4 linked regions of the Diceros bicornis minor genome follow. Each later gene encodes a partner of the first gene's protein in a complex. Links are inferred from orthologs where the notes say so. Each region holds a gene or a part of one and is shown on either strand. Other genes may lie near its edges. The genes, in order: MCM2, GINS4, GINS2 and DNAJC9.

What was found.
Region 2: MCM2 (region 1) and GINS4 share a complex: the UniProt entries of both Homo sapiens proteins name them as parts of the CMG helicase complex. The link is inferred for Diceros bicornis minor from reciprocal best matches to the Homo sapiens genes MCM2 and GINS4.
Region 3: MCM2 (region 1) and GINS2 share a complex: the UniProt entries of both Homo sapiens proteins name them as parts of the CMG helicase complex. The link is inferred for Diceros bicornis minor from reciprocal best matches to the Homo sapiens genes MCM2 and GINS2.
Region 4: the proteins of MCM2 (region 1) and DNAJC9 are in contact, whole or in part, in a crystal structure (PDB 7CJ0), measured with the Homo sapiens proteins. The link is inferred for Diceros bicornis minor from reciprocal best matches to the Homo sapiens genes MCM2 and DNAJC9. Residues at the interface, in NP_004517.2 of Homo sapiens: Glu65, Glu66, Glu67, Asp68, Glu104; in NP_056005.1 of Homo sapiens: Lys185, Arg189, Arg192, Lys244.

What each region holds. Positions count from the first base shown.
Region 1 is NC_080741.1:92,291,036-92,298,296, reverse strand, and holds the start of MCM2 (DNA replication licensing factor MCM2), read right to left. Parts: upstream 3,032-7,261; 5' UTR 2,945-3,031; coding exon 2,939-2,944; intron 1,923-2,938; coding exon 1,690-1,922; intron 1-1,689. UniProt on the Homo sapiens protein: Acts as a component of the MCM2-7 complex (MCM complex) which is the replicative helicase essential for 'once per cell cycle' DNA replication initiation and elongation in eukaryotic cells.
Region 2 is NC_080768.1:38,708,880-38,715,957, reverse strand, and holds the start of GINS4 (DNA replication complex GINS protein SLD5), read right to left. Parts: upstream 3,076-7,078; 5' UTR 2,953-3,075; intron 2,280-2,952; 5' UTR 2,261-2,279; coding exon 2,165-2,260; intron 1-2,164. UniProt on the Homo sapiens protein: Required for correct functioning of the GINS complex, a complex that plays an essential role in the initiation of DNA replication, and progression of DNA replication forks.
Region 3 is NC_080771.1:34,513,770-34,521,007, forward strand, and holds the start of GINS2 (DNA replication complex GINS protein PSF2), read right to left. Parts: upstream 3,227-7,238; 5' UTR 3,175-3,226; coding exon 3,085-3,174; intron 2,732-3,084; coding exon 2,617-2,731; intron 1-2,616. UniProt on the Homo sapiens protein: Required for correct functioning of the GINS complex, a complex that plays an essential role in the initiation of DNA replication, and progression of DNA replication forks.
Region 4 is NC_080745.1:33,277,055-33,285,283, reverse strand, and holds the start of DNAJC9 (dnaJ homolog subfamily C member 9), read right to left. Parts: upstream 3,024-8,229; 5' UTR 1,357-3,023; coding exon 1,177-1,356; intron 1,031-1,176; coding exon 890-1,030; intron 287-889; coding exon 32-286; intron 1-31. Other genes in the region: MRPS16 (small ribosomal subunit protein bS16m), read right to left, coding at 3,828-3,961, 4,432-4,692, 5,106-5,397; CFAP70 (cilia- and flagella-associated protein 70), read right to left, coding at 7,547-7,627.

The sequences.
Region 1 (7,261 bases):
TAGAAAACAAGTGTTGGCAAGTATGTGGAGAAATTGGAACCCTCATACACCACTTGTAGGAATGTAAAATGGTGCAGCTGATTTGGAAAACACCCTGGCAGTTCCTCAAAAGATTAAAGAGAATTACCATATGATCCAGCAATTCCACTGCTAGGTACATGTCCATGAGAATTGAAAACATAACGTCCACAGAAAAACTTCATAGCAACATTATTCATAAGAGCCAAAAAGTGCAAAGAAACAAATGTCCACCAACTTATGAATAGATAAAAATGGCGTGTCCATACAATGGAATATTATTCAGCCACAAAAAGGATTGACTGAAGTACTGATAAAAGCTACAACACGGATGGACCTTGAAAACCACACTAAGTAAAAGAAGCCTGTTGCAAAAGGCCACATAGTATCGACTCCATTTGTATGAAATGGCCAGAATCGCAAATCTAAAATGACAGTAGATTATTGGTTGCCTAGGGGCTGGGACAGGAATGGGCATTAACTGTAAACAAGCACAAGAAATCTTACTGGGATGATAAAAATGTCTAAAACTGGATTGTGGTGATGGCTGCACAACTCAGGAAATTTACTAAAAAGCACTGAACTGTATTCTTACAAGGACTGAGTTTTATAATATAGAAATTACAGCTTAATAAAGTTGTTCTTAAAAAAGCCACAGAAACAAAATCCAATTGGGCCCAGCTCGCCCCCAGATACCTCTACCCAGAGGCCCCTGCAAAGAGCCTGTCCTTCTCTGGAGGGAGAAGCAAAGGGGAGTGGAAACAGAGGGCAGCTGGCAGGGGAGGGGCACCCTGCCTGAACAACTCCACAACGCACAACAGGGACCCTGCGTCCAGGGCTGGTTCTTCCAAAAACTCCTCATTCCTTCCACAGTCTGGCATGCACTGCACACCCAGTCTCATCACTTGGGGTGGTGGTGCTTAAGGCAAAGATCCAAATGGTCCAGAGTGCCCCTGAAAGTCCCTCGGATGGCCCTGGACTGTGGGATGGCCTGTAAGTCCTCTCATGCACACCAAGTCTGGAACCCCAAGTCAGAGGACAGAAAGGCCCAAAAGGAGACTCTCCATGAGGCTCCTGGGCATTCCCACAATTCCACTACGAATGTAGCTGCCACATCCTGGTTGTAAACACACGGAAAGGCCGCAGCAGAGAGGTAACCCTGCTCACTTGCAGAGCTGACTCCACTATCTTAGCATTAAGTGTCGATATGTGTTAATATGCATTTGTATGAAACTATCTAACACAGGGCCTGGTACGGATGAGGCACAACAAATGTTTGCTGGACTGAATCTAAATCTTGATTAATCACCCCTCCCCCAACTGTTTCTTTGCAGTTACAGAAAAACACTTGGCTGTCTGCTTCTTGTCCTTCCCGGCTGGTGTCCCTGACGCGCGCCCCTCTCCCCCAGATTAGGGACCCCTTGCACGCATCCCCTGGGGTGCCCTTCTCATGGAGTTAGGGCTTACCCAGGCCTCAGGGTTTAGTGTAAGTTAGACACATCCGTCGCAGCTCCATGAAGCTGTCTCCCCCCAGACCTTGGACCAAGACTCGCTCAAGCGCAAGGAAGCTCTGATCCATCTGCTTCCTCAGCACCCAAAACAAGGTCGCCAGACACACAGCGGGCTCCCTGCAAAACTATCAGCTGAGTGCAGGGCCTTGAGTGAAAATACCTCTCCATGCCATCTCCAATAAGCTCCTCTCCATCCTCTTCCTCTTCCTCCAGGGGCCCGTCTGTGCCTAGTAGCCCCTCCGACTCATCCTCAAAGGGAGGAAGGTCCCGGCCAGGACTGGAGGTCAGGGCATCAGTGCGCCGGGAGCTTCGCCCAGGGCTGGAGGTGAGAGGATCATTGCTTCGCCGACGCCCAGCTGGGCTGGACGCCATGGTGAAGGACTCAGATGATTCCTGCAACAGGAGATGGAGGAGGTGAGGGCTGAGGTAGCTTTCTGTACTGTGGCCCTCCCCACCCGTAAGGCCTCCCTCTCCACAGCCACCCTGTCCGCCAACGCTCCAAACCCGTTCCAGCCTCAAGACTTGCGCTTGCTGTTCCCTCTGCCTGGCAGGCTCTCCTCTGAGCTCTCTGAGCCAATGGCTTCTCCGCACAGGGGGACCAGCCCAAATAACACTTCCTCAAATGCTGTCACTCATATTACCCTGTTTTCTCCATGAGAAATCACTGAGGGTACATCATTTGTCTGTTTACCTGTATATCGTCTATTCCTCCCCTATAAGCATGCATTCTCACCCATTTGAGCACCCCCAGTGTGCCAGGCACTGTGACTGGACACGGGCTACAAAAGCGACCAAAACATAAGAGGTCTGGAACTTACAGAATGGTGGAGCGGACAGATAGTAAACAAGACAAAGGGACAAAAAATGTTACAGTAAGTGCATGAAGACGCAGGACTTGTCTGTCTTGTATACACACAGCGCCGGGCATACAGAGAGCGCCCAACAAGCATGTGCGGAGTGAATCAACGATAATGGCCGGGCGGGCTGGGCTCGGCCTAGGGAGTCCAGCGCTCCCAGGTTGGCGCGGGGGAGGAGGCATCACCAGGCAGACCGAAGCGGTGCGGGGCCCGCTGGTTTTGCAGGCCCCGCACGAGGGGAGTAAAGGAGAGAAATCAGCTCCATATGGAGCCCAGGGACCCGACCTCGTCCGGAGCACCGATCCGGGGCGGCGCGAGGGCGAGAGAACCAAAAGCTCGCAGCCCCCGCACCTTTGTTTCCGGCGCGCGCTCTGCACCGCCTGCCCGCGCCCCAGACCGCGCAGAGGCGCAGGCCGCGGGGACCACCCGCGCCCCCGGCCGGCGCAGACGTGCAGCGTCGCAGGGACCACCCGCCGGCCCCCACGCCCACGCCCCACCCGCGCCCCCCGCATGGCAGACACGCAGGCCCGCAGGGACCACCGGCGCGCTCACCGCCATCGCAGCGCCCCGAACCTCTCTGCTTCTCCAGCAACTACCAGTTTTCGCGCGAAAATTGGCCCACGTGACCCGGCCGAGCCCGGGAAGAGTCTGACGGAATACGGCGTCATGACGTCGGTGTCCCTTTGCGTCAAGCCGGCGCGCAGAGGGCGGGCCGGAGGGGGCTCCGCCCACGCCACCCCGCGGTCTCGCCCACGCTGCCCGAGGCGCACCCCCACGTGCTGGACGGCGGGCGGCCTGTGCTCTGCGCTGCCCTGACCAGGAAAGGTGTGGGAGTGGAAGCTGCGGGTTGGGGCAGCGAGGACCAGTCCCACCTGCTGTTTGCGTGACCTTGGTCACGGTATGGTTGTTTTTCAGACGAGGCAACGGAGGCTGAGAGTCTTGTTTTTTGAGGTCGTCTTACTGTGTCATGAGCGGACAGCCCCTTTCCACTTCCCTAAAAGCTCTCAGGCTGGACGCTTGGAGCACCAAAACGCTCTGAGATTGTAGGAGGCCACATGTGGTGTTCTACTAAATTGTCTTCACCGAGGGGAGCAGAGATGCAGGGAGGATGCCAGATAGAAAGAACGTCGTCTGGAGTTCTGGTTAAAGAGCGTGTGATGCTCAGGAAGGGGCAAGGCTTGAGATCAGAGAGCCCAGGTCGCTTCAGATCTCCAAGTCTTTCTGGGGAGTTTTAGCTTTATCCTGAGGGCAGTGGAGAGGTGCAGAAAGGTTTTAAGCAGGGTGAGAGGAGAGCCAGTGTGGGCTTTAGGAGAATTCCTCAGGCTGCCCCCGGTGGAGGTGGAGGCGGATTGCTGCGGGTCTTCCTAGTTACAGGCAGCTTGGGCTAGGGTGGGTTGCTCGGTGAGCAGGGCAGGGCTGGATCTCCGCCCTCTTCGCCTGGTGCTTTTGTGCGATGAACAGGCATCTCTGGATAGACCCTGGGATAGGGGGAGGAGTGATGTTGAGGACTGGAAATATCCGAGAGATATTTAGGAGATATAGTCTATTGGCCTTGGGGATGGAGGACATTAAAAGGGAGGCAACCAGGAGAACAGCAGGATTCTGGTTCAGGAGTCTAGGCAGACGATGGCACTACCTCTCAGATGAGGAAGGCAAGAGGAAGACAAGAAAGTTTGGGGGGAAAGAGGGTGAGTTTGTTTCTGGCTGTGTTGAATGTGGCCCCTGAGTAGAGATGTCCAAGAGGCCAGAGATATCCTGGATGTTCAGGTCTGGGGCTCGAGAGGAAGCTTGGGCTGCAGCCGCCACTGGGGAGTGGCTGGCTAATCCAGAGAGCGAGTTCAGTGAGAAGAGAAGGCCTAGGCCTAGGACCCGGAAAACCCCAACAGTTAAGCAGCACCAACAAAGGATGCTGGGCAGGAGCTGGGATGCTGGGAGCTGCTGAGGGAGAAGCCAGAGCAGAGATTGTGGGTGGGGTTGTATTAATTATCCATTGTCGCCTAGCAAATTATCCTGCAATCTAGCAGTTTCAAACAGTTACCATGTATTCTCTCCATGTCTGTGGGTCCAGGATCCAGGCCTGGTTCAGGTGGGCGCCTCTGCCTCACTGTCTCGCACAGTGCTGCACTCAAGGTGCTGGCCCGGGCTGCAGGCCCATTTGAAGGCTCAGCTCAAGGAGGACCTGCTTCCAAGCTCCCTCATGGGGTGGGATTCAGTTCCCCCCAGGCTGCTGGACAAGGACCGTTTCACACTGGCTCTTGGGTGGGGGTCTCCTCAGTTCCTTGTTATGTGGGCCTCGCCATAGCGCAGCTCACAACATGGCAGCTGGCTTTGCTCAGAGGAAGTGAATGAGGGTGAGAGAGGCCATACAAGCCGGAAGCCATGGGCCAGAAGTGACATCCCCTCACTTTTACCATCTTCTGTTTGTTAGAAGCAAGTCGCTAGGGCTAGCCCACATCAAGGGCGGGGGTTCATTGGGGGCCATCTCAGAGGCTGCCCACCAGGGTAGATGGGGTCAGCAGGTGACAAGCTGCCAAGAAGTCAAGTTTGGTAAGGACTAGGGGCCATTGGTGTCTCTGGCTGTGCGGGATTGGTGTCGGACACCACGTTGGAGTGTGTTGAGGAGTAGGGTGCAGGGAGTGAGAAGGTGACTGTGGACAAATCTGTGGAGAAGCTGAGCTGTGGGAGGTGGGGCAGTGACTGGGGAGGGATGCAGGGCTGGGGAAGGACTGTTTTTGAGATGACATACCTGGGCATGTTTAAATGCGAATGGGAGGGAGGCTAGGAGAAATGGTAAGGTGGAAGAGGGTGGGGTGCAGCCTCTCTTATGGCCCCCAATGATCCCTGCCCTCTGGTATTCACACCTTTTTATAATCTCCTTCCCATTGTACCAGAGTTGGTCTGTGTGACCAATAGCATCCGACAGAAGTGATTAGATATCACTTCAGATTAAGTGATTAGGTGATTCACCAGATCACTCACTCTGAGGGAAGCCAGCTGCCATGTCCTGAGGACACACAACCAGCCCTGTGACAGGCCCACGGAGTGAGGAAGCCAGGACCCCAGCCAATAGCCGTGTTGGACCCACTCTGGGTGCACATCACCCTGGGGATTTTTCTCACATCAGTAGGCATCCAGCACTGAACATCATCAAGGATAAGTCTGCTTCCCAACTTCTGCTTCCACCATCCGCAGCCTGTGGCTTTCATCCCTGAGGTCTCCACACGGCTGCTTCCCCTCCAGGCCTTGCCTCTGACCCACAGAATGAGCCAGCTCATCTCTGAGCAAGCTCAGCCTCCCCCTCCTTTGTCAGCTGTCTGAGGGACCTGCCAGTCAGCCATAGGTGTGAATGAGGGAGAGGCACTAGTGTGACAGTGGTAGATGACGTGGATCTGCCATGGATCGCTTACCGTCATGCTATGGCTGGCTGCTGGGCCCACATGAATTTACAAGTGGGCCTGATAGAACCCAGTTCATGAGGGGCAGCTCTGGCCTCCTGGTCACTTGATGCTCCCTAGTCATCTCTGCCAGGGTCCAGTAGCCTGGTGGAGTTGTTCTTTGGATTTGTGTGTAGTTTGCTGTAGAAGGCCTGGCCTCGCTCTAGAACCCTGGGGAGCGACATTGTGGTTTTCCCAGGAGGGCTTGCCCTGACTTTTACACAGCATCTTTTCCTCCCACCATTAGAGGGCTTCTCATATCATAGGGTTTGAGGGGCCTGTGGCCTCTGGGACAGCCTTTCCTGCTGTGAGCCTCACTCAAAGCTGGAAGCCTTTTATGTCACCCAGAGATGTATGGGTCAGAGCAGCATTTCCAGGTGTGGAATATGCTGCCTCTAGAACCCAAAGAGTGGATTCTGGCGTTGTGCTTCCTTTCTTGTGATGGGGTGTGCAAGATGCAGTCATTTGTCCTTTACTTTGGAGAGGATGTCCTGCTATGCCCCAGACCACTAGACCCCTACAAACTTCACCGATGTGCCAAGCCCCCAAATCTTCATAGAGTTCATCTTCCACCCTTTGGAGCATGTATGTCTCATCAAGGTCTTCATTTGCTTGTTCCTTCTTGTACGTCCGGCAAGGTTAGCAGGATGTCATCAATATAATAAACCGATGCACTGTTCTGCAGAACGTTCAGATGGCCAGGGCCCTTCAGACTATGTATACTGTGACAGAGGGTGAGAGAGTGACCGTAGGCCTGGGGCAAGACCATAAATGTAAACTGCTGTCCCTCCCTGTGAATGATAGGGGTGGCATCCTGATAGGGACAGTCATCGCAGGCGGCCCACTGCTACCTGAGCCACGTTGATCTGTGCTAGCAGTGACAGCAGCACAGCAGCTGCCATTGGGCTACTACTTGGTTGGGTTTGCAGCAACCTACTCCTATTCTCTGTATGTTTTAAAGGCCAGACTGATGAATTAAATAGGGATACGGTGGGGTCTACCTCCCCATATGCTTTAGGTCTTCGAGGGAGGCCCTGATCTCTGCTGTTTTCCCTGGTATGTGATATTGTTTTTTATTTACTATCTTGGCTGAGGCAGGTGGGGGGAGAGGACATTTCAGGGGCTTTTACTTGACTTTCACCTCTGTGAAAACTCTCATCGCCCAGACAAAGGAACCAGTGTTGGCATTCTGCCGCCTACTGACTATGTCCATCCAGTGACCTATTCCACCTTCCTGGCTGCTCCTTTGACCTCGATGGTTGCATGACGATTGTACCCACTTTGCTTCTCACGGCTGAGCACTGCCATCTCATCTCTATTACTTTGGGATCCCCAGTTCTGTAGCAGCATCTCCTGCCGTCAGCCATGGCCTAGAGAGGATGGCCACCCCGAGCCTGGTGTAGGGCAAAGAACAGAACTTGTGTTTATTAAACTACCATTC
Region 2 (7,078 bases), on another chromosome or scaffold:
GTTCTGCAAGCGTCTGAACTTGACATATATTTATGTTTCTTCAGCAACTTATTTCCTGTTGTTCTACATGGTGTTCCTGAGAGTTCTTCATGCTGCTGCAGGAGCTTTTACTCATTTTATTACCATCTTTTTTCCCATTGTGTGTCTACGCCACAATTTTTCATCCATTCTATTCTTGATGGATATCTGGGTTATTTCAGTTTTTAACTATCACAAGCAATGCTATGAAAACTTTGTGCATGTCTCCTGGAGTACACGTGTAAGTTTTCTCTAGGGCATGTAGCTGGGAGTAGAATGACTGGGCCACAAGATATGTGTGCCTTTAACTTGACTAGACAATAACAAATTCTTTTCCAGAGTGACCAATTTACATGCCCAGGGCAGTATACAAATGTGCAAATTGCTCTATATCCTTGCCAATGCTCTATATTGTTCACTTTTTCATTTCTACCAATCTGATGAATATGAAGCAATATCTCATAGAGATTTAAATCTTCATTTTCCTGATTACTAGAAAGGTTGAACATCTTTTTCATATGATTATTGGCCATTCTGGTTTCTGCTTCTGGGAGATGCCTGTTAAGATTTCATTCTTCGTTGGGGCAGTTTTTGAAGTTTGTTTATGTATTGTGGATACTAACCTTTTGTCAGTTACATATTTTGAAATGTTTTCTCCCAGTTTTGCAGCATGTCTTTTTACTCTTACCAAGGTGTAAAAACAGAAGTTCTTAATTTTAATGTAGTTGAATGTATCAGTTTTTTCCTTTATGCTTTGTGATTTTTGTTTAGTGAACCCTTTCCTAATAAAGCAGGGGCTCTTCAACTGGGCTCCACAGACTAGGTGGGCAGATTTCAGGTGTCTGAGAACCTCCTGAAATGATATGCAGCATTCTGCATGGGTGTATATATATACTATTCTGGGAAGAAGGGCCAGACTTTTCACTAGAGTCTCAAAAAGGTCTGTGATATTAAAACAAATTAAGAGTAACTGCTATATGGTCAGGATTATCATATAAGGTATAATTTTAAAATTATCTTCCTTCAGTTTTGTCACTCATGATGGCATGTTTGGTAGGAAAAAATGAAGAATACTAAAGTAACAAACGAGCGAGTTCTGGAAAGGGGCAGTTAAAGGGAGAAGATGAGAACAAGGCAGCAGGTGTAGTGGATTAAGAGCACACGTTTTGGCGTCAAAGAGACTTGGGTCGTATCCTGATCTGCTGCCACTGTGTGACCTTGGGCAAATTACCTGACATCTCTAAGCTTCAGGTTCCTCATCTGTAAAATGGAGATAACAATAACCCCTGCCTCACTGGGTTGTTGTAAGGATTATTACTGCTCACAGCCAACATTCAGTGAGTGCTTATCACGTGTCAGGCAATCTGCCAAGCACTTTACATATATTACCTCATTTAATCCTCCCAGCAACTCTGTGAGGTAGCCACTATTATTAACTCCATTTTACAGTCAAAGAAGTGCTTGAGACAAGCTATATAACTTGCCTAAGGTCACATAATAGACTAGTGGCATGGAGGGATCTAAACACAGATAGTCTGAACTCCTATCTTCCAGAGCTCCACGAGATAGTGACTGTAAGTAACTTAACACAGTTACTGGGACACCGGAAATGCTCAATAAACCATGGCTATCATGACTAAAAGGAGAAATATCCCAGAAATGATTTTAGATAGCCAGTGGAAAAAGAGAACAGCTGACAAAAGCAAGTATATGGGAGGAAAAGGAAAAATAAGAGCAGTTTTTTCCTAAAGGTGTTCCAGCACTTTCTTGCTAACCCAAGCATTCTACAGGGAAACAGCAGATGTTTCAGGGACTAAGGTTTAGAACTTACAAGTCTCCACCACAAAACCTCTGCAGTCCCCACAAATACCAAGTAGATCCTTTTCTATGAACTGTTTTATTCAATGTGCCCAAAGCTGTCCCTTATTGGCCCCACTTGAAGATTTTGTATTTGACATTATGAAGTTTCTAACAAAGCCTGTCCCCACTACTTCCTATTTCTGTGTAGATGGTAAAATCTAGTCCCTCTTCTCTTGAAATAAGCCTTGAATTCCATTTCCTCGTTTTCTGATTCCCGACATTTGCATAGTTGGGCTAAATAAAAGGGCTAAGATTGGAGCAAGGGGACTCTATTTGAGGTGCTTACCTGCTCCAGCCTTTCAATGAGCTCTGCAGGAGTCAGGACCACCTCCTCACTACCCCCATCAGAGTCCTGTCCCGTGAGATCCAGTTCCTCTGCCATCTTCTCTGAAACCAGGAACCTAATGAGAATAAAAGAACTAATACCCTGCAACGTGTTTTCCATTTATTTGCAAGAACAGGCAACTATGTATCTACAACTGGGGTTGTAGAGGCTCACTGGCAGTAGCTAGAGAATTCACAGACTTTGATTTTATAATTCTTTGCCTCTTCCTCCAAACCTGAGGTCAAGTATTAGTTTCTCAAAGAGGTCACCCCTTAGAAGCGTTTCCACGTGCACCACGAACGGTACACTGGTACATCACACCACGTGATAACCACCTGTCTGCCTTCCCAGCAGCGGTCCTTTCCTCAGGGGCTGTGTGCTCTTCAGCTCAAGTATGAACCACCATCCGCTCTGTGCCTGGCACTTCTAAGTACTGGGGCCATAGTTACCTGCGTAGTCCCTGCGCTTAGCACCGTGCTTAACTCACAGCAGGCATTTACAACTGCTGGGAGAGCTAACCAACGCCTCGTTCCCTAGGGCCGCAAGGCCCAGCGACATCAGGCCGGCCAGTGACCCCAACGGCTCAGGAAGGCGGGTGGTGGGGCCAAGGGCAGTCCCCGGAGCCTCAGAAACTGAGAGCGTACCCTCCCGCTCCTCTCCTCGCTCGGCGCCGCGAGCACAGCGGCCCCCTCCCCACTCTCCCCGACACACACACACCCACCCACCAGAGGTCCCACGCGGATGCTCACCCAGGAGGCAGAGAGACACTCCGAGGTAGCACGCGGCTAGCACCGGAAGCGCGTGGGGAAGCGCCGGGCTCTCCCAAGGAGCACCCGGCCGCCAAACACGCCGTTGGAGGCCTTTCCCGGACGTACCCAAACCTCCTCTGCAGCTCCCGCGCTCCCCTCAGAAACTCTCCGCCCAGGCATGACGTCACCGCGCACGGGCGGCGCTGGCCAATCACGGCCCAGAGGCTCCGTCCACCCGGGGGCGGGGCTTGGCCTCTGCGGCTCGCTCTGCAGCGCCCTCTTGAAGGGAGGCGGCGGCAGGCTGGCTCGGGTGAGCCTCGCCCGCCTTGGCCCGCCGCGCCGCAGTGGGGTCCCGGCTGGCGCCGCCCAGGGACCGTCGGGAGGGGGCGCCTCGCCACCGCGGCTGAGGACGCTCGGCGGTGTCGGCCTCCCGGCCACCGGGGTGCAATCGCCAGAGTATGTCCTGGCTGGTGGGGTGGGAGCGGGTGGGGGGTTGGACGACAGAGATATGGGCTCTGTTAAAATCAGGCCAATACCGTCTCTTGGGTCGTGCTCTCCACCCACCGCTCTGTGGCCCTTCTGGTTCCTTCTTTGCCAGGGCTTCAGCTATGGCCACTACTTCCAGTTCTAAAAACAGCTGGGCTGGTGGTTCTTAAAGCGCGGTACCAGACCACCAGCAGCAAGGTCGTCTGGGAACCCGTGAGAATGCAGATTCTCAGGCCCCGGCCAGCCCTGCTGAATCAGAAACTCTAGGGGTGGTTTAACAGACTCCGTGAGTCTGATGCAGGGGAGGTTGGAGAACCACTGCTTTAGGCAATGCTTCCATCTCAGCTGCTTGACTCTCTAGGATATTTTGATATCTACTGCTTATGCCTTCTACCTTTAATGTAAGACAAAAGCATATATATGTAAAAGCATATATGTATATATTCGTGCTGACATGAATTCAGACAAGTAAAACGTCGAGCTACAAACATGGCAAAAGAAGGAAAAAGCTACTGCCCCAAGTTGGAGAGGATACAGAAAATAGGACCCTATACAATGAAAGAAAGTGAACAGTCAATGCAATTTCCAGATGGTGCTCAATGAAGAAATTCACTGCTGTTATAGACACAGCAAATAGAAACAGCCAAAATGTTTGTGGATAGCTATAGAAATATACATTAATAAGAATGAATCTATTTTTTTTCAATCACCAAGGAAAAAAGACAAAATTTATGTATCTATACAGTATTGTGAGATGCTTTTTGGAGAAAGATGCTTTTGAAAAGGTAATACCATCATTACTGTTCTGCCTTCGTCACTGCCCTTGCTCATTTGGTCCAGCTGTTTGTCACTGTTTCCTTCCTCCGAATTCCATTACATTCCTGGTCTCACTATCCTAAGAAGCAAAGCACTAAGTTTTGGAGAGGGTATTAGTTAAGCAAAGTTTAACCTCCAGTTGATCTGAACGAATGAAGATTTGGACTAAGGACAGGAAAGTAGAAGGAAACTTGCATTTTTAAGGAAGGCAGAAAAATTCATGTTTCCTTTTAGCCTCTCAAGGAAAGCTGTTAACTGGTGAATTTGCAAGTATTTTTCTGGCCAGCGGTAAAACCCCATACCTGCTTGCATGGCTGAGATGCTGGAAATCTCAGGAGGCCAGGCCAGGCATGGATCTCCGTGACAAATGTAAGATTGGAGCAATTTGTGATGTTCCTAATTCCCTTTCGCCTCAGACTTTTAGCTCCTATCCCTTACTCAAATCTCATCTTGAATTCAAACACATTAAATTAAACCATATATGTCCCCAATAAAGGTATAAACTTTTCAAAGTTTGTCTAAATGTAATCCTAGTTTCTGGCACAGACACATAAACCCTACCTCTGCCTCTGTATTTTGTTTTCTCTTGGTTAATAGGAGGATGCTTTTTTCTCATAACTTAAGAATATTCTTAAGAATAACTATTCTCAGCCTTATAACAAAAAAGTGTCAGTTTGCTGTGGAGGGGTACTCACATCTTCTGAAAAGAAAGCTGATCCAGGAAGTAGAACATTTGGCTTCAAGTTTGAGCTCTAACAAAGGCTTCCCAAGCCTGGGCACAGACCCTGTAGATGCCATCTCCTCCATTCGCCTTGACTTTGTCAATAAGGGTTCACAGTGACATTGACGGAGGCATCGACACCTGCCAAAGGCTGTGGCCTCCTCAAGCACAGAGTAAGATGATGTTCTCTCATCCCACTGTGGCCATTTTACACCCTTGAAATTTTCCTCTGAGGATGGCAGACAGAACACCTGTGGGCTACACCTCACTGCCCACAGGCTTAGACAGCTGTGCTGAAGCAGGCTGTTGGAGGGTGGGTAAATTCCCTTGAGAGAAGTAGGACAATTTCAGTCACTCTGGCTGAAAACAGTGCTGCTGATTTTCTTGAAGTTTACAGCTTCCTCCCTTACACCCTTTGCTCCAGTTATGTCAAAAGTTGGACAGGAGGGATTTTTTGTCTCCTTTCTTTGCACATGCTGTTGCCTCTTTCCAGGCTTCTCTCTTTCCATTTCACCACCTGATGAACTCCTATGCATCCTTCAAGACTCAGCCAAAGTATCTCTTCTTCTGTGAAACCATCCCTAACACATCCACCCCTTCTTTAGGTCACCATGTATGTTACTATTCTGTTACAACATTTATCATGCTACATTGCAGTATGAACATGTCTGTTTCTTCTATTAGATTGTGAATTCCCTGAAGGCACCCCCCACATCTAGCACAGTGCCCCTCATTTATTCATGCATTAATTCTTCTTTCCACAAATATTTCTTGAGCATCTAGTTATATTTGAGAATCTCCTGCCAGGCCCTGTGTAGGTGCTAAAGATAAAGCAGGGAATAGGAAACATAGACCTTGTGATGGAGACAGACAATAAACAAACAATAATTATTTGTCAGGTGGTGATGAAATAAAGTTGGGTAACAGATAGAGAACATTGAGGGCGGGGAGGCCTCTGTCTTAGACGGTTGGGGAGGCATCTGTCTTAGCACGCTTGGGCTACTATAACAAAATGCCAGAGATTAGGTGGCTTATCAAGAACAGAAATTTATTTCTCACAATTCCAGAGGCTAGGATGTCCAAGATCTCAGCACTGACAGAGTCAGTGTCTGGTGAGGGCCCACCTCCTACATGGCTGTCTTTTCACTGTATCCTCACATGGTGGAAGGAGCAAGGGAGCATTCTGGGCAACTTTTATAAGGGCACTAATCTCATTCATGAGTCTGCCCTCAAGACTTAATCACCTCCAAGACCCCACCTCCTAATACCAGCACCTTGGGGGTTAGGATTTAAATATATGAATATTGTGGGGACACGAATCTTGAGCCTATAGCAGCCTCCTTGAGGAGGTGACATGTGAGCATAGTCTGCAGGAAGAAGGAATAAGTTCCAAGAGAGATGGATGTGAAACACTGTGAGGAGATACAGAAACTGTACTGTCATTTATTTATTGCAGAATATACAACCACCATGAATTTTCCTTTTTGTTTTTTTAAACAAAATTTACCTTCTGAAAAACTATGGCCAATATAGCATTTAGCAGGTAAAATGATTTTTTTCGGTAAGAGTCAAGCAAAGAGAAATGTGACCTTTCCATCAAGAAATTCATGTGCCTTTATGTCATGAACATCTGATGAAAAGCTGCTATGTCTAAGTGCCGGGCAGGTCTTCATGTTTATTAGGGTTCATGTAATTTACCCTAGGGAATTGTCTTTAGGTCTAAATGAAAACCAGGCCAAACTCAGCATTTCTAAATGCTCTCAGCTTAGGCCAATGCTCTTTTTTGTTTTTAAATATGACGCCATAGGAAAAGGCTTGACTATAGTCATAGGAAAAGGCTAAAGGGGAGCCTTGTTTGAGTGTACCCTGTATCAAAATATCACGCATTTCTTTTCATTTTAATGTCTTACTTCTCTTTGTGTTAATGGATCACAGACATGGCACCATTTTGAGAACTTCACATAACTAATGTAATAGGTCATTCCACTTCAGACTAAAGTTTTTTGAAATAATTTTTCTGTGCAGCGACAACTCTTAGAATACAATTGAGTTAATCTGTGCATAGGTAATTGTTCCCCTGAGCTGACAAGACACAGTAAGATT
Region 3 (7,238 bases), on another chromosome or scaffold:
ACTTCCAAATTTATATCCCCAGATCAACCCCTCCCTGAATTCCTGACTCAAATACCCCACTGCCCACGTTATTTCCACCTGGATATCTAACAGGCACCTCCAGTGTAACATGTTCAAACCCCAACTCCTGGTTCCCACTCCAGCCCACAAACTCCTCCTGCAGTCTTCCCTGTCTCAGGAAACAGCAACTCCATCTCCTTCTGCAGCTCAAGCCAACAACCCTGGAGGTCATCCTAACTCTTCTCTTTCAGATCCCATGGCCTGTCCTTCAGCAAATCCTGCTGCTTCTTTCTTCAAGATACCCCTAGACTCCAACCACATCTGCCCACCTCCAGCACCTGGTCAACCACTCTTAGCCCTTGCCTGGGTAACTCCCCACTGCCCTCTCCCCACACACATCTTCTCTACACAACAGACCAATTCTTTTCTTTTTTAACATCTAAATCAGAGTATAAAACACCTCTGTTCAAACCCTGCAACGAATCAAAGACTGACAACAAGGAACGTCCGCCAGGGTGTGGAACAATGGGAACTCGCGTACATTTCTGGTGGGCTTCTAATAATGGCTCACCCACTCTGCAGGGCCAGTTGGCAGCCTCTTACAAGTTAAGCACAGTGTGTCCTATGACCCAGTAATTCCACCACTCTAGGTATGTATTTACCCAAGAGAAATAAAAACACACATCCACAAAAAGACTTGCCCAAGAATGTTCATAGTAGCCTTATTCACAATAGCCAAAAATGGGAAACAACCCAAATATGCACCAACAGAAGAATGGGCGGCCAAACTGTGGAAAACTCATACAATGGATGAAACACTACTCAGCAACAGAAGAAAGATGTAATGACAAATGCGACAATGGGGGCGAATCTCAAAAACATTATATTGAATAAGAGAAGTCAGAGCCAAAAATTGACATACTTGATTCCATTTGTATGATGTCCAAGAACAGGCAAAACTAAGCATAGTGGCAGAAGCCGAGGGCAGTCGGCTCTCAGGCAGGGCTTACTGCCTAGTGATGTATCACAACCTCTCACCACACTGTGGCCCAGGCCCAGGAAGCTCAGGCTGACTTGCTCCACGCCTGCTCTCTGGCTCTGGCCTGCAGTGAGGTGGGCTCTCGCCCCCATCACCTTGGCTTTGGAGGGGCCAAAACTGCCCGAAGAGGATGCCGTGCTAATGGAGGCAGGGGTGGTGGGGCTCCCTGCTAAAAAAGCCCTTCAAAGCAGAAGGAATTAGTTTCCCATGATGTTTCAGGACCACCAGAGACACTCACCCCTTTAGGACGGGGAGTGAGGAGAAAATACCCAGTCTTTCTTAAACATTTGCGAGTGCCGCTGAAGGTGTCCTTGCTTCTAGGAGGGAAATACTCCCAGGTGTCCCCAGGGAGGGAACAATCAACATAACTCACAGCCTTTTCAAATTCTACATGTCCCCTACCCCAAATAAAATTAAGATTCTTCTCTATAATGAGCCACTCATATCTCTGAGGTGGGAAAGACTGCAAAGGCTCAGGATAAAGTCTACCTGAACCTTTGATGCACTATTTTCTTTTAACGGCTTTATTTGGGCATATTTAACATACCAGACAATTCACCCATTTAAAGTGTACAACTCGGGGCGGCCCCCTGGAGTAGCGGTTAAGTGCGCAGGCTCTGCTGCTGGCAGCCCAGTTCGGATCCAGGGCCCCGAGGACGCACCGCTTGTCAAGCCATGCTGTGGCAGCGTCCCATACAAAGTGGAGGAAGATGGCACGGATGTTAGCCCCCAGGGCCAGTCTTCCTCAGCAAAAAAGAGGATGGGCAGATGTTAGCTCAGGGCTGATCTTCTCCACAGAAAAAACAAAGCGGTTTTTAGTACATTCACAGAGTTGTGCGTCCATCACTTCAATCAACTTGAGAACGTTTCCATCACCCCAAAAAGAAACCCCACAATCCTTCAAGCCGCAAACCCCAGCCCCAGACAACCACCGTCTGCCGCCCGGAACCGCCACGTGAACGGACCGGCACACCCGACGTGCCGTCCTGGCGGCCTCCTTGCCCACGGCGTGTGCTCCCCAGGCGCCGCAGCACGCCCAGCGCTTCACTCCGCCTACGGCGAGGGCCGCCCCTCACACGGGGCCGCGCTGTCTTCACGCGGACAGCGACTCTTCTCCTCCACACGCCAGACTGTGCCCATTTCCCGTAAATTAGAACGAATGCTTCTTTCTTTTTTTTAAAGATTTTATTTATTTTATTTTCCCCCCAAAGCCCCAGTAGATAGCTGTATGTCACTGCTGCACATCCTTCTAGTTGCTGTGTGTGGGACGCGGCCTCAGCATGGCCGGAGAAGCGGTGCGTCAGTGCGCGCCGGGATCCGAACCCGGCCGCCAGCAGCGGAGCGCGCGCTTAACCGCTAAGCCGCGGGCCGGCCCGGTCATAGAACATTCTTAATTTTAGAGCCAGCTGAAATATCCTAAAACCAAAATCTGGACGAAGATTGGTCAACACCCCCAAACTAACGGCGCAGCAGCAGCAGCGGTCAGCAGACTAAGGCGTGAGCCGGGGGCCGTGAATTCGCCGCAGGCCACCCGCGCCTCCGCGCGGCGGGACGGAGTCACCCGCGCCCATCCTCACCCACGTCCATCCACGCGGGAGGAACCAGCCGGCACTTCTGGCGTTGCTTCAGGTTAACGGCCAGCCACAGGGGCACGTCCACCGGTAGGCCGGGGTTAAAGGGGCCCAGGTCCCCCTGCGGAAGGAAGACGGACCGCTAAGACCGCGCGGCAGAGGCACGACCGACCTCCCTGCGGACAGGCCGGAGCCCAGGGCGCGCACTCCCGCGGGAAGGCGGCCCCGGCGCACCTGCGCCCGCCTGCGCCCGCCCGCCTGAGCCCCCCTGCGCCCGGTCTCCCCGGAGCCGCCGCCCCGCCCGCGCAGGCCCGCGCCGACCGAGCCCGCCGCCCGGCTGCCCCTCCGAGAGGCGGCGCAGAGGAGGGCGGGATGCAGGCGGGGCGGCGTCCGCACATCCCCGGCCCCCGGCGGCCCGGCCTCTCCCAGGCGCCGGGTCCTGAGGCAAATGCCCGCCCCGGTCCGCGCCCTCACCCCGATGAGGTAGATCTTGTCCAGACTGAAGTTTGGGATAATGGTAACCAGCTCCTTCTCGGCCAGAAACTCCACCTCGGCCGCGTCCATGGCAGCGCTAGCGGCCGGCCCGGGCCTGGCCGCCGCCTCCGACCCTCAGCGTCCGGGAGGAAGCGCCGCGGCCGCCGCTTTCCCCGCCACCGCGCGGGACCCGCCCCCCGGCCGGAAGAAGCCTCGGCGGGCCTATAGCAACGCGGCGCGGCGGAAGGAGGCGGGGCCCGAGGCTGCTACGAGCCCGCGGATTGGCGAGCTTGAGCGAGGCTGCGGGCAGACCCCGCCCCCCCGGGCTTCACCCCCTCTCGTACCCCGGCCCCGCCCCTCCCGCGTCCCGGCCCCGCCCCTCCCGGGTCCCGACCCGGCCCGTCGCGTGGGCCGGGCACCTGACTGCCGTGGGCCTCCTGCTCTGGCACCATGTCTCTTCACCTGCCCCGGGCGCCTACCCGCCAACACCCTGAGTCCAGCTGGGGGTGGAGCTCGGAGTGCGTCTACAGTGGGGCCCGCAGCCCGCCAGGAGTAAATGCATTTATTGGGGCACGGCGTGACTTGGCTAGACAGACACGGCCCTGCCCAGCGGAGTGAGGGAAGGCGTTGTTTCCCTTATTTTCACAGTCTTCCGTCCTCTCTATACACATTGCTTGAAATCTACAAAAATGCAGATTCGTTCATCCCACTCACATCTTCTGATTCAGAAACTGCGGGAAGAACTCAGCATTCATGCTTTGGCAGCACCCCGGGGGAGACTCATGAGGAGACAAGTTTGCACGACTGGAGCGGATGTGTATTGATGTGCTCCTCTGCTCATTGAACGGGACCCTCTGTACAGTGGGCTCGTGTGAAACGTAACGGCAGTGTTTCTCTCCCGGGTCAGAATCCGTAGAAGATTCTGAGTGTTAACACGCACACTCCTGGAGAACTGTGGTTCAGGAGTCTGGGGTGCGGACAGAAAGCTGAATTTTCACAGGACCAGGGTGATTTTGATGGGTGGAAGTAGGCCAGGAAAGCTCCCTGGGGAGTGAAGCAGCCAGTGTAGCACTGATGGGAACAGTGTAGGCCCACAACAGTGGGCTGGACTTGAATTTGAAACCCGGATCATTAGGCCCTGAGAAAAAGCATAGGTGATGGGGATTCCAGGGTTCTGTATCCCTACAGGAGAGCTGTCCCACCCTAGATAACCCCATGCTTTCCTCTTTACCCCTCCTGAAACCTGCCCCATGTAAGGTTGTTGGGAAGATGAAATAAGGCCATAATTAAGTTCTGCTCACTCACACGGCCTGGAAAGCTGTCTGTTATTTATCTGCATTGGGAAATTGTCATTTACAGACTTGGAGATTACCTTCATTGTGTGTCATTTATTAAGACAAATACTTTCAAAGAAAATACGTAAAAGGCCCCTCTGGATGCTGTGTGACCGAGGGCAAGTGACCACTCTGAACCTCAGCCTCCTTATCTGCAAAGTGAGGTAGGAAAAGAAGGAGCTCCAGGGTGTTTGGGGAGGAGGGGAGGCCTCAGGCCACCTGGCCCCTCCTGAAATAGAAGCTCCCTTGGGCATCTGCAGAGAGTGTGTGCCAGCTTGTCTGGGTTTTGATTGATGGTGGAATGTTTTCTTGACTGGCAAATATTTGTATTCCAAAGTTGGCAAGGCTTCCCTCCCGGATTTTCGCAGCGGTAAAAGAGCAAAGGAAAAGAGCTGATGGGAAAGCTGAGGTTCAGAGAGACCGTGGCGGGATGAGTAGGAGGGCTAGCAGAGTCCCGCGTCCACATCACCCAAGTCTCGGTGTCCTTATCTATAACATGGGGACAGTGCTGCTGCTTACCTCACTGGGCTGCTAGAGAACAAGTGTGCAGCTTTACACGCTGCAAATGGTGGCATCTTGGAGTCTCAAACTTGAGTGTACATCTGGGTCACTTGGGGGCTTGTCTTTCCCTTCCCAGCAGCACTATTCACAACAGCCCAAGGTGGAAATGCCCCACATGTCCATCAGCGGAGGAATGGATAAACAGAATGTGGTCATACTATGGAATGTTATTCAGCGGTGAACATGAATGAAGCCGATTCATGCTACAACGTGGATGAACCTTGAAAACCTTATGCTACATGAAAGAAGCCAGCCACACAAACCATATGACTCCATTTACATGCACTGTCCAGAATAGATAAAAAATCCATAGAGACAGACACTAGCTTAGTGGTTGCCAGGAGCTGGGGGAGCAGAGAGTGGGGAGTGACTGTTAATGGGTATGGGGTTTCTTTTGGGGTGATAAAAATGTTCTAGAATTAGATAGTGGTGGTAGTTGCACAACTCTATAAATATACTAAAAAAACACTGAATTGTACACTTTAAAAGAGTGAATTTTATAATATGTGTATTATTCCTCAATAAAACTGTTATTTAAAATGCCCCTTCCTAGGCTCCAGGCTCAGACTTTCTGACTCGTGGAAACCACACACTTAACACGTCCCCTAGGAAGTTGTATTAATTGGGAAAACTGGGAAGCGAAGTGATTTGCCCCAATCCGGTCCAGCTCTGAGCCACTCCCAGGGTCCAGAGAGGACTTGTGAATGCCCAGCCTCATGCTGGCCTCTCAAAGTGGGGGAAGGAGACAGTAAACAGACAAGAGGAAAGCTGAGGGGGGAGGGAGTCAGGGAATGACGGAGGTGGGGGTGCTACTTTAGATGGGGTGGGCAGGGCCCTCACACCGTTATTTCCTGTTGTTGAAAACGCCTCCCCAAGCTGTCTCGAGTGACCCATGTGGTAATGAATTAAGGGCTGGAGACAAAATAAAAGGGGGCGAAGGGACAAATCTCCATGCAGAAGAATCCCACATGATGTGGACAGATAGATGCTCCCCACTCCTGAAGGGTGGGCTCTGTAGCCACTTCCTTCCAAAAACGGCAGGATGGAAACAGGAAAAACAGAGTCCTTCGACCATGGAGACATCTGACCTCCACGAACTCAGCCAGGAGATCAAGGTCAACGTTAGCAGTGAAGGCCATGGTGAGGGCACCTACCCTGGATACGACAGATGAGTAGGCGCTTCCTCTCTGGGATCTTCCTCCCCAAACCCACAACCCCAGTCTCATCAGGAGAAAAATGTCAGACAAATCCTAACAGAGGACAGTCTACAAAACACCTGACCAGCGCTCCTCAAAATTGCCAAGGTCACCAAAGACGGTGTTAAAAAACTGTCATCCCCAGAGGAGCCTAAGGAGGCATGTCAGCTAAATTGGGATGGGAGCCTGGAACAGAAAAAAGGCATTAAGGAAAAACCGAGGAAATGTGAATAAAGTATGTGGACTTTAATTAGTAACAATGTATCAAAATTGGGTCATTTGTTGTGACAAATGGACCAGAGTAAAGGAAGATTAACAACAGGGGAAACGGAGTGTGGGGTATATGGGAACCCTCTGTACTATCTTTGCAACTTTTCTGTAAAGCTAAAGCTATTCTTACCAAAAAAAGTTTAAGAAAAAGCCTCTCTAGGATTCAAAACACTCAGAAGCGTGAACCCACTGCCCCCTTCAGGGTGGTCCGCACTACAACACCTTCTGGTCACAGAATTTAAGCCGCAGAACAGTGCTCCAAAAATGAGTCAGCAACTTGGACGTCTGATCTGAAAGCAGTGGATCTTTCTGCAATGATGGAAATCTCCTGTAGCTGAGCTGTCCAGTAGGGTGGCTGCGAGCCCCATATGGAGATTAAGCACTTACAATATGAGTGACTGGATGGGGACCGGGGTCCTCTGAAGGGTCTTTCACTCCTGTGAGTGACATTGGGCCAGTGGCCTAACGATGCATCCCCACAGGTAATCCTTGGGTTGAGCATGTCTGGGAAGGACCTGGGGTCCATCTACACAGAGTGGGTTCCTTCCATCCTTGATTAGTCTACCTTGAGGTCTGAATCCCTGCCACCGGGAGCAATTCTCTTAGAGTGCGGAGACCATCAGCCTAGAAAAACAATGAATGACAGTGAAGAACTGAGGAGGTGGGCGAGAAGCTCCACAGGCTCTTAGCTCTGCCTGCACGTGAGAATCACCTCCTGGGCCACACCTGGATGGAAGGGATGGAAGGGCCACACCAGAACCTCTGGGGCAGGCCTGGGCCTCTGCCGAGGCCA
Region 4 (8,229 bases), on another chromosome or scaffold:
TATAAATAATAAATAGCATTCAAAATCTTACCCTCCTTTTCCTTGCATTCATCTTTCGCTTTGATTCTTTGACAAAGGCGTTAAAGGATGGGACCTCTCCAGCATCAATGGCTTGCTGAATTATGTTCCTTATTCTGGGTTCCTCTGTGTACTGCACACACAGCACAGACTCCATAATCTGATCCATGTCGCCCTTGAAGTCCAGATAGGCCTGTTTAATATCAGCCAGCTCTTCTTCAGAACCTTTGTATGTCTTTTCAAAAGCTTGAATGTCTTCTAGAGATATCTGAACAAATAAGGCACATACGCTTTAACTTTGAGAATTTTATTTTAAATAAAAGGTATACTAATAAAACTAGATTTAGATGTTGAAATGTTTCTCCCAAAATATTAGACTTGCTTCAGTTGAAATTCTTGCAAGGAACCAAATTTTCTCTGCCAAAGCTTTTCCAGAGTTCTCTGTGGTCCAATCTTCCCAACTGCAAAACTGGGACCAGAAAATTTAAGTGAAGTTTCCAAAGGTGAGAAAAGACTCAGAAAAATACTCAGGACTTACATTTGGATATGTAAAATAAAGCATCTTGTAAAAAATTAAATCCCCCGCTTTCACTACAATCAACTCAACAGGAAATTAAAAACTCATTTCACTAAGTGTGTGTGCGTGCCTGTATGTATATATACACCTAGTTCAACCTAATGGGTTAAATAGGTCTGTTCTCCAGACATATATGTGTATCTCCTGAGGAATGCCTGTGTGTGTGTATTTATATTTCCAGGCCAAATTCCTCACTCCTAGACGATACAAAATGCAAGGCCTTAGAGGCATTCAAAAGTCGTTTGTTGAATGAATGATGGGAACGGTCACAAAGAAATCTCCAGAGTCCCCTACCTTTTTAAAGAGTAACCTCCAATACGTCTCCCAGTCCCGATCTTGGTTGAGCACATCAGAATCCTCGTCCACTGTTCCCTGCTCATCGTACACTGCTTTCTGCTCTTTGTCACTTAGAACGGAATATACTCTCCCGAGGATCTGCGAAAAAAGAGCATGCAAGTGTCACTCCCGCACCTCTCACTAAAACCGCGCCGCGAGAAATAAAGATTAGAAAACTCCAGGCTGGGTTCAGCGCACTCCAACCTGGCGGGGCCGGGCGGCCGGTAGAGCGGGGACTCGCTTACCTGGAAGCGACGGGTGGCGTCCTCCTTGTCGCCCTCGCCCACCCGGTCCGGGTGCACCTGCAGGGACACCTTGCGGTAGCCGCGTCGGACCTCGCTGTCTGAGGCCTCGCGTCGCACGCCCAACACCCGGTAAAGGTCGGCGGTGCCGAACACTTCCTCGCACAGCTCCAGCAGCCCCATGGCCGGCAACGGTAAGGCGCAAGCGGAGCTCTCCGGCAAAACAGCCCGTTCCAGCGGCACCGGCTAGAGCTCCGGCCTGCTTCCTTTTCCCGCGCAAAACGCTCAGGACGCCTGCGTCACAAGAGGCGCGGGAAGAGGCGTGGCCAGGACGCCGAGCTTTACGGCGGCTGCAAACGGGGCGTGGCCAGACTGGCGTCGGCCTGGATTGCGGTGGAGCGGAGCCGGCGTCCCGGTCTCTCCCAGCGCGGGAACGTTTCTGCGCAGGAAGTGGGTGTATCCCAGCTGCTACCACGCCCTCTCCTCCACTCACTCTGGACATCCGGCGCCTATCTTCTCCCCAATGTCCCAGCGCAGAAGCTTATTCAGTAGTAAATGGAACGTCCATATTAGGTTGAACCTATACATTGCTGTTTTGTTTTTAAGTAAAAAACGGCATAACATCGGCATTTGGCAATTTTACATGGTTCAACCTAACGGTTAAATAGATTTGTTCTTTTTTCAAAGATGATCCTGACAGGAGTACATAGAGCACTAAAGCCCAAATAATTTTGCCTACAGGTTGGAATTGCTAGGTGGGTACTTCCCTACAGCCCTGCAAGAAAAACGCCTACATTAAACAAAAAACATAAAATACTGGTCTTTTAAAAACTCCTTATAGGATTTATAAATTTGACATTTATTACAGGATCATTCCCATTCACCTTCCAGCTCCTGAATCACCTTCCACTTTGGTGGAGATAACATGACCCACACCTTCACCCTAATAAAAATATAAGCTGCTGAAGCAAAGGCTCTTTTTTTAAAAAGAAAAAAAATGCTTTCTAAACTGCAGAGCTGAGTTTGAGCATGTTGGATTTGATGTGGTAGCAAGATAGGCTGATGCAATTATCCAAGACATGCTGAGAATCTGGGCCGTGGTGAGATCCAAAGCAAGAGCTAGATAAAACTCTGGAAATCAGGGAGAGGATCAGCTCACAGAAGTACGTCTATACACAGCTTAGGCAAAGGAAAGACCAGGGCACAAAGTGAACACTTAAGTTGGCAGAAAATCAGTAGCTCAAAATAATACCTTACCTTAATCCATTTCACCTCAGTTCCCCTCACTGGTCAATACTTTTCAGAATCACATTCTCCTCTGTTCTACCAATTAAGCTTCTCCAAAGATCTCAAACTCTCCAGGGTAGATTAATATCTTTTAAATTTCCAGAATTCCTATGGTTTTCAAAGCATTTTTCTTCCCTAGATCCAAGATTAAACTGAGGAAAGTCAGTTCCTTTCTGCCTGACCTGCCTTCAAAGTCTCTGCAAAGCAAGTGGAAGCCAACCAGTAACAACCCTGGGGGAAGCTTTGATGACCCCAAATTTGAGGTGGCTGGTAATTGTTCTCAGAATATAAAACCCAGAGAATTAAGTTGGTACATTGATAGGGTTTTAAAATCTCTATAAATTCCCTATATCCTAGACTTACACCAGAATTTGAAATAATCTGTATTATCCAGAGTGTGCACTAAAACCACCTAATCCATGCTTGTGGTTGTAGAATCCTGTGCTTCTGGTAGAGCAGAAAATGTGATATTCTGTGTTTTTTGGCACAGCCAGTCATTTGTATTACCAAACTCATGATACCTAAACCTGATTCTATCACTGACTTTTTAAGTGGACTTTTGAAAAGCCCCTCATCTTTGCTTATGCACCCTGCTCCCCACTGCCCCCCACCAATATATGTTAGAAAGGGCTCTCCAGTCCTCCAGGTAGGCACACTGGAGTCTGAATCTTAGCTCTGCCCAATATTAGAACTATGTGGTCTTGGGCAAGCTTCCACCTCTGAACCTGAGCTTCCCCATCTGTAAAATGGAAATAATCCTACCTAATTTCATGATCCCTTATAATCCTCACAAATAACCTTGTTTGTAAAGGGCTTAGAATGTATGTAGTTTACTTTACAATATTAGCTTTCTTCCAGGTTTTCATTCTTAACAAGTAGGCTATTACACCCATAACAAATCTACCTTTGTCAATTTAAGATTATGTATCAAGCAAGACAATATAAATCTGCAATTACAAAAATAAGTGAAGTAACTGTGTTCTTGAGCTGGTAGGATGACCATAAAGGATTAAGAAAGGAATTACGTGGCTAGGCTATAGACATGCTGGTTGGCGGCTTTGAAACACGGAAGTCTTGGAAGGCAGCAGACTATAAGTTGTCCGAGAGGCCTAAGGCCCAACCCAAATGTCCAACCCAACCCACAGCTACTGTCTTTCCCCAGAGGAGGCTGAAAAAGCTCATCAGTACCTAGACCAAGCTCTACATCAGACAGGAACAAATCCCTCCCTAGGCCCTGCTCAGGACAGGCCAGAAGAGCATAGGTGACTTAAAAAACTCCATTTATTGACCTCTAAATCTGATAAAATTAAGAGCTCTGCACAGGTGTTTTAAGAGGACTTTGACTTTGTTCCCACTGCTCACTGAAGTCAGATTGCTTTTGTTTCTATAGCCTCTGTATCTGTTTTCTGAGTGGCTAAGAGGACTTCTCGTGCTCGTTTCCGTCGCAGTCTCTCAGCATTTGTGATCATCATGGGATGCAGAGGGAAAAAGCCTGAAAGACCTAAAAGCAACAGGATTTTCATTCATTACAATACAGTACAAGCCAATGTTTCCCTGGGAATTCAGCCTCACAGAACTGAGGTCTCACAGAGACCTGACCTAGAGCATGGATTTAAAACATGCTCCTCACCCTGCAACCTGTCTTACTTCTCCCCAGCTCCCTCCTCTCCATTTACTTTAAGGAGACAATGGATGTTGTCTACTTCCTAACACTATTCTCCTTACTTGAATAAAAGACAAACTGACAAATGGCCATTCAAGACACACTATTCTCATTTTTACCATAAAATACAAGTCACCCAAAAAGTCCATAAAGGAGTCAGATTCAAAGTGGCAATTAGATCACAACTTCAGCTTTCACTCCAGTCCTGAGCAGCCTAGAGATGATGAAAATCATTCTTTATTCTCATCATCCTGGAACTGACTTCAATTTAAAATCTCTTCAATGAGGTAAGGCTAGAGTTGAGTTACCCAGAAGCTTTTCCACAGGCTTAGAGAGGTGGGCTCCACAGCCGATCCAATGCCGGATCCGTTCCAGGTTGAGAGCAACGAGTTTCTCTCCATGACTGTTGGGCAGTGGATCATAGGAGCCCAGCTGCTCCACAAAACGGCCATCCCTGGGACACTTGTTGTGAGCAGCCACGATGCGGTAGAAAGGCCGGTTGGTACAGCCGCCCAGGGCAAGGCGAATGGTTAAGTGGCCTCCGTGGTAGGCTCTGCAGAGGAGAGTAGCTATAGAGAAATAAGTAGTTAAGACAAAAGAACTGAGGGCACAAAACGAGGTAGATGAAACAATCTCCCTCCACTGAAATGTCCTTACTTCCAACTAATTCTTGTCAATCCGGCGTAGATACTATCCATGCACTCCAGCCAGAAACGACTTCCTCCTCATCCCCTAATCCCCTCAGCAAAGGCCTGCCCTTTACTGGCTCTGTGACCATGTCGGAGCCTCAGCTGCGTCATCTATAAAATGAATGCCATCTAGCTCATAGGGTTTCGGTGAGAAAAAAACTGAGAGGAGGATCACATGTAAGGCTGTTGCAGGTTCGGGCTGCCTCCCGCTCACCTGGGAAGAGCGCTGCCCCACCAGGTCCCGCACGCCCCCACCCCGCACCGCAGGGAGGTCTCTCGGCCCGATCACTCACTGAGCTGGACCATGGCGCAGCCGGCGTGCCCCGGGCCCTGTGCGCCAGGCGCGGCGTCTCGGAGCTCCCGCCGCCCGCACGCAGCAGCTCCACGGCCTGGGGCGGGGCGGCGGACGGCCGACGCTGCGCGACCGCGGGCCTCACCCCTCCGCGACCGACCGCCAAGCGCCTCGCCGTCGCACGCGGACAGCGCGCCGGCCCCGCCTCTTCCGCTCTCCGCCCCTGCACTTCCCTGAACGCAGCGCGGTGAACCCGACCGAACCTTAAACTGCCGGGGACAGGCGCGCTCCATTTGCGTGCCCCGGGGGTGGCAGTGCGAGCTGAGGCCGGTGGGCGTTGCCGGCCCTCCGTAGCCTGTGAGCGCCTGGGGGAGCGAGGAGTACTGCTAAAAGTGATAAAGTGCTCCATAAATCCATCCTTGCTGCAGACGTTTTTTGAGCACCTGTTAGGGCCAAAGCACGGTGCTGAGAACGCAAAAATGAAAAGGCGCTGTCCCTTCTCCTAGGAAGCTCAATCTGATGGGGAGACGGTGAGGTTACACCAGCATAACTAGGGGTGGTCAGTACACAGTCCTGGGGGAGCAGAGGAGAAGGTGAACCTGATACTTCCTTGGTGCCTCAGGAAGACTTCATAAAGGAGGTAGCCTTAGGGCCGAGGCTACAGAAGGACTATAAATGTAGAGTTTTATTATCCTTCTGTGTTTACTAATATGCCTTCTGCCTTCCCTCCTAGTATCTCCACCTCCTCTTTTAAAAAATAAAGGAAGGGGAGACTTTATTCCTGATTTCTGCTGTGCAGTGATCCAGGAGGACAGGGGTGAAGTGTGATTTGTCATCTCTAGCCCTAGAATGATGGCCTCAGTTGTGAGGAATTTTGCATCTATTACAGGGTAATGGACTCTAAATGGAGCCCTTGTGGTTTAGATCCATGAAGATGCCTGTGGTCAGAGGGAGTCAGCACCTCCACAGTCAGCAGAGACCTCTCTGTTGAGCTTCTCTGTTGGATCCAAAGGGCCTGGGCACAACTCATATGCTCTTTGCCCTAATGTAGTTGTAACCGCAGGCCCTCTAGGACCAGTTCAGCTGACCCCATCTCTTACCAACAGATTGACTTGTCTTTCATAAAAATTGCAAAGTCATGTAGCCAGAGCCTGTGTAAAAGAAGAAATCATGACCTGAAATGACCTCAGAACTAAGATCCTCCTCCCCATGGAACCCAAGGACGGTGCTGTGACCAGAACTTGAAAGCTAGACTCTTATCAGAAGCAAGGGGTCCCTCATTCAGGAAGATCCAGTGTTAAAATTCCTTCCCCACCTCATCAAAAATGTTTAGAACCCCATCATAAATGTTGAGAACCTTGTCATAAATGTTTAAAACCTTACCATAGGGGCCGGCCCCATGGCTTAGCGGTTAAGTGCGCGCGCTCCGCTACAGGCGGCCCAGAGTTCGGATCCCAGGCGCGCACTGACGCACTGCTTCTCCGGCCATGCTGAGGCTGCGTCCCACATACTCCCACATACAGCAACTAGAAGGATGTGCAACTATGACATACAACTATCTACTGGGGCCTTGGGGGGAAAAAAAAAGGAAGAGGATTGGCAATAGATGTTAGCCCAGAGCTGGTCTTCCTCAGCAAAAAGAGGAGAATTAGCATGGATGTTAGCTCAGGGCTGATCTTCCTCACAAAAAAATAAGTAAAATAAAATAAAATAAAATAAAAGCTTACCATAAATGCTTGAAGCCCACCAATCAAAGCCTGTGCCACTAGCATTTCCACGTGCCAGCCTATTCTCCCTAACCTCTTAAATTTTGCCCCAAATCCTGAATCAGGAAGACAGATCTCAGGGCACATGCCCCTTGTCTCCCTGCAGATCGAACTCACAGAATAAAAGCTGATTTCTCCCCTGAAGGCTGATGCCATAATTAATTGGCTTGTTTATGTGCATCAGGCAGAGAACCCCAATTTTGTGCAGTAACATAGTGACCCAGCATAGCAGTCTTCCTTTAGGCCCACCTTAGAAAATGATGCCTTAATTCCCAAGTTCCACTAAGTGAACCTGGCCAAGGACCTTAGTAGTTGACTTCCTCCAGGAGTGATCCTGATAAGCTTTCATCAGAAACCCTAATAATGAACCCACTATACCTTATATTCCTATATATACCTCAGTATACCTTAACTCCAGAACCATACTGATGAATTTTGAATTTCTTATTTCCATTTTTTATTGTCATTCAGTTTACTGTTAACCAGTAAAACATCCAGTAATGTAGCCATCCAGTAAGACAGCCAATGGGAATAAGTGAATGGGTTTCTGTTTATGGTGAAGATTCTTTTGTTCTCCATCTCCAGGCCTCATATGGTGAAACTTCCAGGGTTTAATTTCTCTGGGAAGGAAAGGAGCTCAGAGTCCTATACAGAAAATTCTTCAGCTGGAAGGATATCAGAAAGATGGGTTTCCAAAGCCAACTGTCTCCTGTACCTTGTGGATCTCGGCAAGCAGAGCCTCGTCTTTCAATTTCAGCTGCATAAGAGGAAAGAAGGGAAGAACAGGTGTCATATCTGATATACCTGTGTGGAGACCCCTCATTTGCAAGGCCACAGCTCAAGACCATAATTATTTGGGATGGAATTGGTTCTTCCTATATCCCCTATTTCATGGTAACTCCATTAAAAGACCTCAGAACATTGTGCTGGTTACATGGACATGCTCACTTTGTGAAAATTCATCAAGTGGTATGAACACTCACAATTTGTGCATTGTTTTGTAAAATAACTTTAATAAAGTTTATTTTTAAAGGAGTTCACATTATCACCCAACATATCTTGACCAATGTATAATATTCCCATTTGGCAAGAGACAGAGAAGAATCAAAGACAATAGATCTGAACTTAATTTTAGAATCTAGATGTGTAGTAGAGGTATCTAGTTGCCTTCTGCATACTCACTCTGTCCTTTCTTAATAACAAAATCTTCATTTCTTTTCAAGGTAGCAATGTAACCAGCTAAAAAGCCACATTTTCTGCTTCCCTTGCAGCTAGGGGTAGTCTTATGACCCATGTGGCCAATGAAATGTAAGCTAAAGTCATTGGTCTTTAAAAGGAGGTGAAATAGCTAACATGGCC